Schizosaccharomyces pombe: one gene and its partner. Changing the gene in region 1 together with any one later gene gives a genetic interaction. Each region holds a gene or a part of one and is shown on either strand. Other genes may lie near its edges. The genes, in order: pgr1 and trx1.

Region 1 (8,388 bases):
TGAGATTGTTAGTAAAACTAGCCGTGGTAATTGAATACAAAATGTATAATTAATATAATGATTCGCAAAATTTTTGACTGCAAAATAAAAACCATTATGAGAGAGATTTTAGAAGGAAGAAGAAAGCAGGAAAGTAATTATTATTGACAACGAGTGTCACTTGTGGGTATCTACCTCTACATGTCGTTTTTAAATATTATAGGATATACACTCAAACATGCGCCTTGCTTCTTTACAACCAAGCAATTACTCGTACTTCATAAACTGCTAGTAGACGCAAGCATATTTAAACATTCAGCAGGAACCTGTCTTTTCAGGAAAGCGAAAACGAGTTTAAAATGTTTGTATATAGAATGTGTGATGATTACCAGCTTACCCTCTTTTTTGAGATACGAAATCACGCTTCAGAACTCTGGTTAAATTACTCGCGTCTTTGCAGCTATATAAAATTTGGTTTGCCAATGTCTCTAGCAGTTTAATATTCCTTCTATTTTAAAGGATTTGTTGTTTGGAGGAAATGCAAGTAAATTCACGAATTATATTAATATGATACAAAGGACGCAAAGCTTCTTAATATAGCGATACAGAAAGCAGTTATTAAATGCAAAAAGTTGATTTAATTAACTCAATCTTCGGGAACAAAATTTGGATTTGATTCAAAAAAGCCTCACCTCTTAAGGAAATAATGCTGTTGCAAGATTTCACTAGACTCACGACTGATTAAACAACGCCTACACAACAGATAAAGTTATAAACTGACGCAGCACTGAATGTTCAATAACAATAAAAAAACCACAACATAAACACAAGTTCTAATTTGTTCATGTTTTAAAGGCAACTTTTAGGAATAACGCATGCCGATTTCATTAAAGATAAACAGCCTAAAGTTACCTAAAAACCGAAGAGGCAGGCTTTAAGATACGCGTAAAGAATATTAGTTTTGTTCCAAAAACCCAATTAAAATTTTTATGAAAGTAAACAACACGAGAATAGGTATAGATGTGAATTAAAGAAAATGAAACAAAACAAAGGACAAGGAAGTATGTCTCAAAGACTATTGCTTAAAAATAATAACTGTTTGAATAAGTTCGATAGCCAAGGCGGTTTAATTCTTCGCAATTAGGTAAACGCAATTCTTTAGCCTTCTTCAGTGCCTCTTTATCAGGAAAGAACCATCCTTGAGCTCTTCGAATTTCGTCTTCTTTAATTTGTTGCTCGCGCAAACAAGCATTATGGACGTTTTGAGTATACGTATGCTCGACTTTTTCGTTGAGTCTTCTTATATCTCTTGAACTTAGCTTATCCAAATCCTTTTGGCTCATATAGTATGGAATGTTATGCTTGGCAGTAGTACGAGGAACAGTGTATTTATAGTTTTGTTGAAATGAATAGCGCGTATTAACCGACGTACTATCTGACCAACTAAAGTTGGACAAAAAGGCAAAAAGGATTACCACTATCAAAGGTAGCAACTGATAAAATATGCTCTTTGGGGGCATGTCCTGGGCCTGCTGACGACGTGCAAAATTCCTTGGACGGCCGCCAAACTGATGAACTCGAATGCCAGGTCCACCACCGAAGAAAAATGTTCCTGGACCTGAAAAGAACTGGTCACCAAAGAAAGAATTGAACAAATCTTCGGGAGACATATTCGCTTGAGGATAAGCAGAAAATCCAGGATGGCCTCCTGCGTTACTACTAAAAGAGCTGCTCGCAGCAGAGGCGCGAGATTCAGGATCCATTCCTGTACGGTCGTAGTGTGCTCGTAGATTAGGGTCTGATAAAACCTGAAAGGCTTTTGAAACCACTATAAAAAAGTTAGGATACAAAAAAAAACCTTAAAAATTATTAGCTAAAAAATGAAGACGTACTTTTAAATGCTTCGTCAGCACTAGGTGCGTGATTTTTGTCTGGATGGAGCTGTAATGCTAATTTTTTATAAGACTTTTTGATTTCTGTATCAGTGCAGGTTTTCTTTAAATCCAATATTTCATAGTACTGGTGATTTTTGTACTTTATGATTTTCTGGACCAACAAATGTTGTTCGCTTGTCCACTTCTGTTTCTTTTCACCAGCAGAGCTATTCCCATTTTCCCGCACCGACTGTTTTTCAGAAAAAAAGTTACTCTTGTTTTCTTGCTTAGGAGTTGCCTGAGGATTTGGAGAACCTGTAAGCTTTTGCTTTTCTATTTGTTTCACAAAATCTTCGCCCTCAGTGGTAGCATGAATTCGCAAAGATTTATTAGCAAATTTTAAAGCCTTATCATATTCTCCGGCATTTAAATACTTTCTTGCAAGTCCAATGCATCTACACGTAACATGTGTTAGTAATAAAATCTCACGCAATCCTCATTATTCGTACCTAAGGGCTTCTTCTCTACTAGATTCCATTTTGGTGATATGAAAGAAGGAAATTAAGTCCAAGTTTGATGAGAGAACCAAAGTTTCAAGTGCCTTCAATCTCTGCCAACTTTGTACTTGGATGGATCGATGCTACCAGAAACCCTTTAAACCAAGTAACATATCGAAGGTCAAGTGGCTTAAGTAACATGCACTTTTGAATCAATCCAAACACCAAAAACAGGAATAAAAGGGAAAACTAATTGATATATTTAAAATAATTCAAAAAGAGCATTTTTTGGTTTTGGTTGTTTGCCAAGCGAAATAATTAGAGTAATTGGAAAAGTTAAGTGTTTTTCATGTTTTTATGTTTCTTTCGGTTTCAAAGTGGTAAATCAGAAACTTAATAATAGAATGAGCAACAAAAGTGCATGGCAACCTCAGTTTGATGAAATTCACTCATCCGTTCAAGAAGCAGAAGGGTTTTTACAGTCTAGCAACGATGTACAGAAAGCTATAGACGAGGTGCATTATCCTGACAGCCTCAATGACTTGTCGGAAATATCAAAAAATTTGTATATTAGTAGTTGGAAAACGGCGTCAGAGCTAGTGTCTACTTCAGACAAAGGGATCGATTATACATTAAGCGCTATGAGTATTAATCCCAATTTGTCGGTTCCTGAACAACAACACCTTTGGTTGCAAATTGAAGACTCTAGTTCTCAAAATATTCTGCAATACTTCGAAAAGTCAAATAAATTCATCGCTTTTGCACTATCTAAAAATGCCAAAGTTTTGGTTCACTGCTTTGCGGGCATATCAAGGTCCGTAACCTTAGTGGCTGCATACTTGATGAAGGAAAACAATTGGAATACTGAGGAAGCACTCTCCCATATTAATGAAAGGCGCTCTGGAATATCTCCTAATGCTAATTTTCTTCGTCAACTTCGCGTATACTTTGAGTGTAATTACCAACTTGATCGAAGTTTGCGCCCATACCGCCAATGGCTGTTCAGAAGATATGGTGATTTCGCGGTGTTGAATACTAGGGTACCATCTGAAGTCGCTTACGCTGAGACTGTCCGTGCCCGTGCAGGACAATTAGAGCTTCGCTGTAAAAAATGTCGGTTTGTCCTTGCCAGCTCTGATTATCTGGTATCGCATGAACCGAAAGATGAAAATAATTATTCTCATACAAGATGTACTCATTACTTTTTGGAACCTATTCGCTGGATGCAGCCAGAATTGGAGTTGGGAAATTTGGAAGGTCGATTTGATTGTCCAAAATGCAATTCTAAAATTGGTTCTTATAAATGGCAAGGTTTACAATGCAGTTGTCTTCAATGGGTTTGTCCAGCTTTAAGTATTTTACAGTCGCGTGTAGACGCTGTTAGGAAACTCGGTTGATTTTTTTTTCTGCGTGTGTGAATCATCCACTTGCTTCAAAGTTAATGTATATTAGGAAGATCGCTCTAGGTTTTCAAATCATCTATGTTTATTACAAAAAAATGGTTTATCTTAAAACATTGGTTGCTTTTCCAGAGTTGTCGATGAGATCTTGTAATTAAAGTACTAACCAGTTCTGAATACTTATTTTTTAATAAAAACTCTATACTATCATTGGCCTGAGAAAAGTATTTCCATCTGTTCAATGGCAAAGTCTAAGGAATTCTTCTAATCTAATTATCACTTTATGGAGGTATTGCTTACTTTTGAAGATGACTAATATTGCCATAAAATTTCCTAATATTATCATAACGAATTCATGGTAAAGACGTCTTACCCTTACCTTCCGTTGGTTTATAACAGTATTCAACTTCTTCATTACCTATATACACGAAGTATTAAAACTAGAATGGCACCTATTTCAAAGGTCTTTGATTACCTGGTAATTGGTGGTGGAAGTGGTAAGTACAATTCGATACTTTCGGGATTTGATGGGTTAACATTTATGAATATTAGGCGGTTTGGCTTCGGCTCGTCGTGCTGCCAAACATGGAGCCAAGGTTGCTTTAATTGAGGCATCTGGGCGCCTTGGAGGCACATGTGTAAATTATGGATGTGTACCCAAAAAGATTATGTGGAATATTGCTGATCTCGTCGCAAAGATGAAAACAGCAAAGCAAAATGGATTCCCTAACAGTCAGTTAGGTAGTTTTGACTGGGGAATGATTAAACGTAAACGTGATGCATACATTGGACGTCTCAATGGAATTTATGAAAGAAATGTTAATAAGGATGGTGTGGCTTATATTTCTGGTCACGCTAGCTTTGTATCACCTACTGAGGTTGCTGTCGATATGAATGATGGTTCGGGAACTCAGGTTTTCAGCGCAAAATATATCCTTATAGCTGTTGGTGGTCATCCTATTTGGCCTTCGCATATTCCAGGAGCGGAATATGGTATAGATAGTGACGGGTTCTTTGAGCTTGAAAGCCAACCTAAGCGCGTTGCTATCGTTGGTGCTGGTTATATTGCCGTTGAACTTGCTGGTGTATTTGCTGCTCTAGGAACAGAGACTCATATGTTTATTCGCCAAAGCAAATTTTTACGTAAATTCGATCCTATTATCAGTGATGGAATTATGGATCATTTCCAACATATTGGCATCAATGTCCATACGAACTCTTTAGAATTCAAAAAGGTTGAGAAGCTTCCTTCTGGCGAATTGTGTATTCATCAACAAGATGGATCTACCTTTAATGTTGATACCCTACTTTGGGCAATTGGTCGTGCCCCTAAAATCCAAGGTTTGCGTTTAGAAAAGGCAGGTGTTAAGACACTCCCTAATGGTATCATTATTGCTGATACATATCAACGCACTAACGTTCCCACTGTCCTTTCCTTAGGTGACGTTTGTGGTAAATTAGAATTGACCCCCGTTGCTATTGCTGCTGGTCGTCGTTTGTCTGATAGGCTTTTTGGAGGCATTAAGGATGCTCATTTGGATTACGAGGAAGTTCCCTCTGTTGTTTTCGCTCATCCTGAAGCTGGAACTATAGGTCTTACAGAACAGGAAGCCATCGACAAGTACGGTGAAAGTCAAATTAAGGTATACAACACTAAATTCAACGGTCTTAATTACTCAATGGTTGAGCAAGAAGACAAGGTCCCCACTACTTACAAGTTAGTTTGTGCCGGTCCTCTTCAAAAAGTGGTTGGCCTACATTTAGTTGGAGATTTTTCTGCTGAAATTTTGCAGGGCTTTGGTGTAGCCATAAAGATGGGTGCAACAAAATCAGATTTTGATAGTTGTGTTGCCATTCATCCTACTTCTGCTGAAGAACTAGTTACTTTAGTTTAAATTTTGTCTTTTATTTATCCTTTGTTTTGACAGGTTTTCTCACTTCTGGTTTCTTAAATAGAATTAAAATTATGAGTACTTTTATTTAACATCAGATTTATTTGCAAATTAATTGTTCAAAACTTATATGTAATTGTAATAAAGCTATTTCTATTGCTAAAATACCTATATTTGCTTCTGCAATAAAACTGATAAGAAACTAAATATTTTTTTGATTTCCTACATGTCTAACCCAGCAGTATATATGAATGCAGTTTAAGCTCAACTCTCACATTTTAAACCTCTAGAGGAAAAAAACAAAAAAAAAAGATCTCTACCTATGGCATCAATTAGGCAAGCATTTGTAAAAAGGTAAGTAGTTTCGGTATAAAGAAAGATAATGTAGACTTACGATATGAGCTGCAGTTTGCGATTTTATGACATTGGATACAACGCAACAGATCCTGTTTTTCGAGGTATTTATCATGAAAAACTAAAACATCCTGATGATTTTGATTCCATAATTTCTCGAGCGAAAGCTGTGGGAGTAGAAAAAATGATGATTACCGGCGACAATGTCGAAAACTCTGAAGAAGCCCTGAATTTAGCTACAAACTATGGTAAGTATATCTCACAATTCATTTCTTATTTTATTTTACTAGTATAAAAATTGCTTAAACTGTTTACTACTCAACTCATTCGCTTGTGGCATTTTTGTAAACTCTTGTCCTTTTCCTCAAAGTGTTGAAATGAGCCTAATCCAAATTTTTTTATCAGCCTACTAATAAATTACAGAATGTTTCACTAGTACCGTGGGCGTGCATCCATGTCAGGCACAATGCTTTCTAAGGCACTCTGAGGGTCCTGAAGATTATCTAGTAAAACTAGAAGCATTGGCTAATAAGGGCAAAGCTTCAGGAAAAGTAGTTGCTTTTGGTGAATTTGGTCTTGATTATGATAGATTACATTATGCGCCTGCTGATGTTCAAAAGATGTAAGTATTATTTTATATGGTTCGGTCCAATATGATACTTAAAAACTAACAAAAAATTGAATTAGGTATTTTGAAGAACAATTAAAAGTTGCTGTTCGAGTCCAGTTACCACTTTTTCTGCATTCTAGAAATGCTGAGAATGATTTTTTTGCTATCCTAGAAAAGTATCTTCCAGAATTACCCAAAAAAGGAGTAGTACATTCTTTTACAGGGAGTATAGATGAGATGAGGCGTTGTATTGAACACGGCTTGTACGTTGGAGTTAACGGTTGTTCCTTAAAAACGGAAGAAAATCTTGAGGTGGTTCGAGCAATTCCTCTTGAAAAAATGCTTTTGGAGACAGGTATAAAATTTCTATATAAATTTGAACCATCTGTAAGGCAGAATAATTAACAAATATTTGTAGATGCCCCATGGTGTGAAGTACGACCATCTCATGCAGGACATCAGTTTTTGAAAACAAAATTGCCATTTGATTCATGTAAAAAAGAAAGGTTTAAGGAGGGATGCATGATTCGTGGGAGAAATGAACCCTGTAACACTTATATAGTCGCAGAGATTGTAGCGGCGCTGAAAGATATATCGTTAGAAGAATTATCAGAACAAATTTGGGAAAACAGTATTAATCTTTTATCTAAATAGAGTCAGAAATCCATTTCAAAATGGAAATTGCTTCTTTGCTGTGTATTCCACTAATTAGAAAAGTGTTAGCAAATCCTGATTCGTAACATAAACCAGTCCATGGAATGGATGATAGTTCGTGCTCAAGGGTAGCATTGGGAGTTGAAAATATAACTTTTTCTAATCTTCCGTGAACAACTGAAATATCCATACTGACTGAAAGCTCTGTCGATTCTAGATGTTGCTTAAAGGACGGTGTTTGACCAAAGGTCCATTCCCAGGATTGTAGCTCATTAACTGCTTTTAGAATAGAAGGAACACCTAATAAATCATTTTGCTCGAGCGTGATGACTGACTTTGGCTCAATATCGTACAATCTTTTACTTGAAGCACGTGGTTTAGATAAAGGTTTGGTTGTAGTAGAATGAGATTTGTGAAGCAAAAAGCAAGAAATAACCTGCTTTATAAATTCAGCTTTCAATAACTTGGTGTTCGATACAGGAGATCGAGTACTTGAAACACCTTTGGAAAGTATGCCGGTTGATGGACTTCTCAAATATTCGCGAACACCTTCGAGGTCAGAATTCAACAACATCGTTCCATGGTGATAACATCTGTTTCTACTGATTTTATAAGCTGAACCACTAATTTTCCTCTGGCTTTGAGCAAGTACAATATCATGTCGCTGGTTTAGCCGTGCGTGAACACCGAGATTTCGTAAAGCCTGAATCATAATAGACGCATTTTCAGTATGCGAAAATTCCTCTCTGTTCATCAAAACGCTATAATTTAAATTTCCAAAGTCATGGAAAACAGTTCCGCCTCCAGACTTTCGACGAATGATGTTTACAAAATTGTCTCTACACAATTTCACATTAGCTTCTACCCAAGGATTTTGGTTTCTCCCAATTATAACACTAGGAGAATTTGTATAAAGTAGTAGACAATGCTTAGCCGTACTATTCTCATAAAGATAATTTTCAAGTGCTAAATTAAAATATGGATTGACTGATTTGCAAACTACCACCTTTGCTTGTAGTAAGCCATTCAATTGTTTTGAAAAGGTTGCTAGAGATGATTTAGGGTTTGTAACAGCTTCTAGCATTTCCTGAAAAATTCATTCGAATTTTTATGATAATCGCAATCACT
Region 2 (7,466 bases), on another chromosome or scaffold:
AGGGTAACTTCCATTGAAGATCGTACTGCTGATGATTCGACGGATAAATGGCTTCGCCTGCCTTCAGGTACAATATGGCATTTAGTGGAAGCTATCGATGAAAGATTTTAAATCATTATGTGACCTAGCTTATACCTTCACTTGCTTTTTCTTTGCTTGTATTTGTGGGACTGATTCTATATGACAGACATTTGGTATTATCATACTTCTATTTTTTCAGGTTTTGATCTGTTATGGCATTATTTACTGAAATTTGTTTTTTGGTCTCGCCTAGTAAGGTATCCGACGTAAATTAACGACTACTATTGCTGTAGCGTGTCTCTCGTCTTGTAACATGATAAATTTTTAATGAACTTTTAATCTATTCGTATATTATTTAATATGTAGAACGCAATCGCTCGCAATAAAAGTGATTTGCAAATATTATTTATCACACCGAACAACGCACTGGTGGTAAGGAGTACCTTATGTAAATTGCTTTGTGTAGTGTGTCCCATCAAAGTACAACCTGGAATTATGATTCCCTCAAAAAATATCCAAAAGATCAAGTTGGTTACGTTCGATGCTTTTGGAACAATCCTTCATTTAAGTAAACCTGTTCCAATTGTGTACAGCGAAGTCGCTCAGAAGTATGGAGTTCATGCAACTATTGATGAAATTGAACACAATAGTAATAAAGGTTAGCTTTTGGTTTCTATTTATCTAATAATTTAGCATTCAAGGATTTCAGTGAAAAGCATAAGAATCATGGAAAAAAGTCAGGATTAAATCCTCATGACTGGTGGATCAAAGTATGTGTCTGAATTTCATTGAGATTTGTGTTTTGTAAAGAATTGAATCTCTTGATTTCTAAAAAACCTTTACATGCTAACAATTTTAGGTTATCGAACATTCTTTTCCAACTCCTGTTCCTGCAGAAATGGCTGAAGAGCTATGGAGTTACTTTTCCAAAAAGACGGGTTACACGATTCATCCTCTTCTGATTGATTTCCTTAAGAGAAATAAAGAAGAGAGGAAATACATTATTGGTATTATTTCAAACACAGACGAAAGAATTCGTACAGTGCTTGAAGATTACGGCATAGATCATCTAATAGATATATATGCGTTTTCGTACGACGTTGGATTTGAAAAACCAAGCAGGGAAATATTTGATTATGCTATGGAAAAGGCTGTTAAACTTCTTGGACAGGAGATTCAACCAGAAGAATGTATGCACCTAGGGGATGATTTAATAAAAGATGTTTCAGCAGCAAGAAACATCCAATGGAATGCTGAATACTGTGACATAAAAACCAATTTCCTGAAATATTTTGAACAGAAGTAAAATAAACGCAGTCAGGTTTACCGCGTATCCAACATTCATATCTGGACCCCTTCTTCAAGGACCTAATGTGACAATAAAGGTTTCACATTTGAAATGATAATTTTTTCTTATAAATGAATATTTCGTCAGAATTCTAATAAATGTATAAATTGATTATATTTTCAACAAAGCTCTGTTGTTCCTTTGTGTACTAGCTTTTGACATTGAAGAAAAATTATATTTATGTGATCCTTTTAATTTTTTAGAGATTGATCTATTGTTGTTTTCATTATACAAGGGCGCAAATAAGTAAACAATGAATATTCCGAAAAGACATGAACATGAAATGGCTAATGCATATGCATGCTAACGAAAATTTAAAAAATGAAGAATATGCCGATAAACGCAATAGCAATCCTTTTTATTTTCTAATTTGAATGACCATTCTAGTCGCGTTATTCCAAGTCTAGCATCCATGCTACGAGAATAATCGTTAGACCAACAATCTAGGGCTCAGTTATGCATTTGCTGTTTTTACGGGTTCAAAATCTATACAGAGTAGCTCACAAAATTCTTTTCTTTAATGGAGTGTATACTCTATTCATAAATATTGAAATTCGAAGAACTGACGCAAACCGAGCAAATTCGATAAAGCATTTATTTAGCTAAAGGGATTTATGCTTTTAAATTATCTAAATTTTATTTAACAATTAGTACTGGCTCTATATTTAATATTTTTAAGACATTTACATATTCACCATTATTCCCTCGAAATGCCAATATGCTGATATAAAGAAATATTTATTACGCTGCACTAGCTATAGTAAGATAAAAGTTGCTTTCTCACATGTATGCCTGCGTTTATAGTCATTCCCTTAAAAAGCAATTATTCTAAACCTTTTATGAAAAATATATTTTGAAGTGCAGTTGAAGCTGGTAGAAGTTGATTTTACTTATTAGCTTATTAGAACTATTACAAGTTACGCTAAATATGTTTTTTTCATAATCCATACTACGCTACATCAGACAAGAGGCGCTTACAGCGGTCGAATGTATCCTTAAGAAGTTCACATTATGCAAATAAACAGCAAATCACAAAATTACTTTAACGAGGGAACTGAAATATATAATGAAACCTTAGTAAAATGTGACTGTCAATGGTGCAAGCTATAAAATCAGCAACTTGTTTATTCTAATATTTGCAATAGTTGTGCGGAAAGCACTTGTGTTCTTAGCAACTGTTTGTTTTATATTTTAGAAACGCTTTTTTAAAAGTAATAATGAGCATTTGATAAAAACACTGGTGCTAATTCATTTCAGTGTCGAATGATTAAATGTATGAATTTTTATCAATCTGTCAATCCCCTGAGATTTTCATTGAAGAGAATATTCATCGAATTATGACGGCATAAAGATACGAATTAAAAGATTAGACTAATGTTCGTTTTTATAAGATGTTAATTTTCAAAAATTTATAGTCGGTACACAAATGAAAAAACTAAAAATTTTGTTTTTTAAAAACCATGAGTAATTAAAAGTGAAGTGTTTAAGCTTTTTATAAAGTTTATTTTGCGTATTAGTAAAGAGGGATCAGGGTTTTCTGTAGTCGGATGTGTATAGCTTCAAAATAGTAATAAGCGGCACGCATACAGCGATTAATGAAGATAGTTTAGTACTAGGAAAAACATTCCATGCGTATTCTTGTAACATCCATAAGCCAATTACTATCGGAGCAGGAAAACTAGCTTGATAGCATAGATATGGTGAATACCAAGCAAACCATGCATAAAATTGATAATGCAGGGATCTTGCACATAATATACCAATCAAATTGGATGTTGCTAATGCAGTAAAGATAAAATTAGGAGTTGCGAGTTGGAGTTTTGGTAAAGGCTTCAAGGTCAGCATGGAGTTTACCATTGCAAATGGTGTTGCTCTGCTCAGTTTATTCCAGTGTTTGCAGGTAAATGCAACTAGCAAAGCAACATGAAGAAAAAGTATTGATGTGGAAAATGATGTAGACTCAAAAATGCTGCGTGGAATGAATCTCCAGTTTACTGTCCACTTATAATCGAATGCTCTGCCAAAATCAAAGGCTTGAGTCCAATACGACCAAAAATAGGCAAGGAAGGGAATAGAAAATAAAATTTGTACAATTATAATAACAAAAATATGCATCCAGGTCTTTTTGGGCCCCAAGATTTGGAGCAAAAGAACTAAATAAGCTGGGACATAAAGCAAGGAGGACATCTTGACAGAACAAGCGACACTTAGTAGAATTGAAGCTCTAACCCACTTTTTTTTGCATGAAGACAAAATAAAAAGGGAAGAGAATAAACTGTTGAATCCATCGTTAAATAAACGTAAGATAAATATACTGTGTAGACGTTTTGAAAGTATAAGCAAAACATATATATAAAAAGGAGCGCGGACAATTTTAAACAAATACCCTACAATAGCCGTTGTAATCCAGTATACAAAGGCAAAAATGTATTGCGCCCTTACAATGTTGGTCCCTCCATCAGTAAGGTAGTACAAAAGGGTGTACAAAAATACGTGCCCTCCAGGGTAGACCAGAGGGCCTGTACATCCGACAAGAGATTTATAATCTCTTTCTCCTAATAGAAATGAATTCACCTGCTCCATGTAAGCAATCCAGTCTATCTCCGTGTAGGGAACTTTGGAAATAATAGCAAAGACAAAAGGAATTTCCAACAGAAGGAGCCTTGAAGGATGTAACCAGCCATAGGAACCAAGATCAAATAATACCCGAAAAGGATTAAAAGAATTTCTTGTCTCAACTGAAGACATTGGTTAACTTTTGATAAAATACGAGACTTTAGCAAATAATGTAGACAGATCCCAGGTTTTTAAGAGTAACGCTTATTATAGACAATGGAAAATTGGTAGAGTTCTTTCACATAGAAAGGAACTCCTTTTTGTTTAAGAAAAATTGTGTTTTTAATGAAACTCGTTAGACGAACAATGTATGTTAGGATGTAAGTGTTAAGAACATGTCGACGGAGCGTAATCATTACTGTGATTTTACTCCATAAATGTGAAATTTGATTGTTATAAAACAATACTTAACGAGAATATTAAAGATTTTATTCTAATAGAATACAAAAATATGTTTGCTACTCAGATCAACATAAATATTCGTTGGGTTAATTGTATAATGTTATAAATAAAGAGTAGCATGTATTTGAGCATGTAATCAAAAAGGATATTTATTCATCCAAATGGTATCATTCCAAATTGGTATACACTCTCCAATGTCTATCTTAGAAGGATAGGAGAATAATGTAGAACAGAGTCACGAACGCCTAACCAAAAAGTCGTATTAAATATTACAAATGCTCAAGGCGGTCGCAAATTAGCTAGCTTGTCTGAAAAATGCCCATGACTAGATTACTACGCCTGGTCGATGGCACATTACTATTATTGCGATAATTGTACGCAAATCGCCGTTCTGCAACTTCAGTAGAAAAGATGCTAGGACAAAAATACTTTTCCCAATAAATTACAACGGTGCATACACAAAGAAAAGCAAAACATTTATTTTTGTTAAATAAAAATATTTTGTATTACAAGTTCATAACAACTAACTATCAGATTGCGTAAATTAGAGGTTCGCCTTAATAGAAGCCTCTAATTTAGCAGGATTAGCACCTACGATTTCTTCAATCTTCTCACCATTCTTGTAAAGGAAGAAAGAGGGCATAGCGTGAACGCCAGCTTCAGCTGCAATTTCACTTAATTGATCGACATCAACCTTGATGAAAGTGGCATCAGAGTAAGTGTTGGAAAATTGCTCAAACTTAGGAGCAATGGCCTTGCAAGGTCCACACCAAGTAGCAAAGAAGTCGACAACGACAAGCTTGTCTTGGCAAACAATAGATTTAAATTCAGAAGAGTCGGAGACTTGTTTCACCATGTTGTATATAAATGAAATGGGAAATTAAGTTAAAAATATATACTCAAATAAAGAAAAAATCGATTTAACGAGTAAACAGAAGTAAACCTGAAAAATTCAAAAGACGTTGACTTCAGGAGTGCAAATGAACTTTGTCTCTAGTATACTTATACGATGGTGCGACGTGCCCGTTTATATATTATTGAGAAAATGTGTAATTTATAAGTTCGCTTATTCTAGTAGAAAGATCGAGAGCGTACATTGTGCAATCACCGACGATGAGGTAATGAGCTACAATAACGAGGATATGGTGCCATTCTCTGCCATCAACCTACCAATTCGTTTCCTAATTTTCTATAACGCATTTCGGAGTAATACTTCATGGAATTACAACGAATCACAAATCGGAAACCTGACAATTAGTAAACAAAGCTAAAGAAGCCATCTTGTTGTTATGTCAGCTTGTTAATCGTGGATTCTCGACAAACATGAGATTATAAGCAATTAAAGCATCAAAATAATAAGTATGTAAATGTAAAGATTTTCTTTTTTTTTGGTAAGCTGAAAGATTATGCGTGCTCTTTTCTTTGCTGTACACGATCTAGTTAGTGGAGTCGAAGTAATGTTAAGAAAATTTTGTTATAACAACTGAGGTACTGATATGAAATTACAAATTAAAAGACATACAAAAATGTAAAATAGTGAGGCGATATTCCTACTGTTAACAAAATCCATTTTACATATAAATGGCGGTAGAAATTGGAAAAGGAGTATAAATATGCAGTTTATAACAGTGTCACATATACTTGAAATTCTGAAATCAAAAAAAAGTTAATCGCCAGTCAAATAATTCTTTGCGGTAGCTGAACTTTCGTTAGAACGATGAACGATATTTTAATTTATGTTTTTTCCATGCTACTTCCTCTAGAAACGGTGTATTGAACCATCGCTTTATATCAAATTCACGTTATGGCGAAATAGTACAATGCAGTTTTCAGCTTGAGAGGGTAACCTTTTACATACGCATCCACAGTCACTTTTTCTACAGCTACTTTGGCTTTAACAAAGTAGAAAGTTACATTTTTTTTTTTTTAATCAACGGCAATTATAGGGATGGTGAAGAAATTTTTTTTTTTGAAATTTTTTTACGCTCTTTCGAAGCATTCACATTTTAGACATCCAGAAGCTATTGAGCAGCAATATGTATTAAAGAATTCGAAAGTACCGTAAAATGAATTTTCTTTCTTCTTTCTTTTACCTTATATACCGGCAGTCTTTTTCATCACTGCAGTACTGATATTCACATTTCAAGTAGCAACCGTGCTTCGTTACTTTATGAGAATGCACGGCAATTCAGGCTTGGACCTAAATACTTGTATTCCCAACTTGTACCGAGCACAAGCATCAGAACTCATTTCCTACAAAGGATCATCTTAAAAATGACAGACGTTCAACTTCAAAATATCGTTACCACCTTTGGTATCTCCATGATGCTCTTAATCATCCTTTACCATTACCTTTCACGTCCTCAAGCATAAAAGAAAGAGAGATTCATGTCTGTTTGTCTAACTTACCTTTATAGCTGCACTCTTCGTCTACGTTTTTTAAATTAGTCACTCTTTCAATTAAGGGAAGTTACCTTTGGTATTGTTGTGAAATGGAATTTGTACCTGCATATCAAAATGATTATATTACGAAACAAAATATGTCTTATTATTTGTTCCGTTAAATATTGGATACACTTGTATTACTTTTTTCTTATTTTCCTATCTCTTTTTCCTTCCTTCCCTATTTTCTACATGCTGGCCAAATAACTTTTATCATCTACTGTTGCTTGTACTAAAGTGCAACATAAAATAATAATACATCTTTAAAGTTCGTCTCTTCTCAAACCCCGACTAAATATTAATACAAATTATCTTTTTTTTTAATAAATGTTATTTTACACAATCAATAAGAATCGCGGTATCCTGACGGCACGCTTTTCTTAGTATAGAAAAGGTATAAGAGTCCACCGAAAGTCCAAACTTTGTTCTTTGTTCTTGACCGTACAAGCATAAGAAGAAGAGATTGCTACCATATTGCAAAGTACCCATCCCAAGACTAGCCATATTAACCAGTGTTGGGCAATCAGTGCTATTCCAGTATAAACAATGATTTCTCCAAGGTAATGGGGGCCAGTTATCCATTTAAAACATCCTTTTTTTAGGACTAGATATTGCGAATGATTTTTTTGAGCAATCA

Evidence for each region.
Region 2: of pgr1 (region 1) and trx1, extra expression of one rescues a mutant of the other (dosage rescue), as found in Schizosaccharomyces pombe (one study listed by BioGRID).

The regions. Positions count from the first base shown.
Region 1 is NC_003423.3:1,410,301-1,418,688, forward strand, and holds pgr1 (glutathione reductase Pgr1), read left to right. Parts: upstream 1-4,139; 5' UTR 4,140-4,195; coding exon 4,196-4,247; exon of another isoform or gene 4,248-4,302; coding exon 4,303-5,645; 3' UTR 5,646-5,856; downstream 5,857-8,388. Other genes in the region: SPOM_SPBC17A3.05C (J domain-containing protein), read right to left, coding at 1,062-1,807, 1,872-2,308, 2,363-2,391; SPOM_SPBC17A3.06 (phosphoprotein phosphatase), read left to right, coding at 2,755-3,747; SPOM_SPBC17A3.08 (deoxyribonuclease Tat-D), read left to right, coding at 5,965-5,996, 6,051-6,244, 6,420-6,618, 6,684-6,961, 7,025-7,260; aim22 (lipoate-protein ligase A), read right to left, coding at 7,253-8,344. UniProt on the Schizosaccharomyces pombe protein: Catalyzes the reduction of glutathione disulfide (GSSG) to reduced glutathione (GSH). Constitutes the major mechanism to maintain a high GSH:GSSG ratio in the cytosol.
Region 2 is NC_003424.3:2,623,234-2,630,699, reverse strand, and holds trx1 (cytosolic thioredoxin Trx1), read right to left. Parts: upstream 5,368-7,466; 5' UTR 5,244-5,367; coding exon 4,932-5,243; 3' UTR 4,845-4,931; downstream 1-4,844. Other genes in the region: autophagy associated protein kinase regulator Atg11, read left to right, coding at 1-111; SPOM_SPAC7D4.05 (hydrolase), read left to right, coding at 517-679, 715-791, 881-1,327; dolichol-P-Man-dependent alpha(1-3) mannosyltransferase Alg3, read right to left, coding at 2,897-4,117; SPOM_SPAC7D4.08 (uncharacterized protein), read left to right, coding at 5,368-5,658; oligosaccharyltransferase subunit Ost4, read left to right, coding at 6,662-6,760; dfg10 (steroid dehydrogenase), read right to left, coding at 7,210-7,466. UniProt on the Schizosaccharomyces pombe protein: Participates in various redox reactions through the reversible oxidation of its active center dithiol to a disulfide and catalyzes dithiol-disulfide exchange reactions.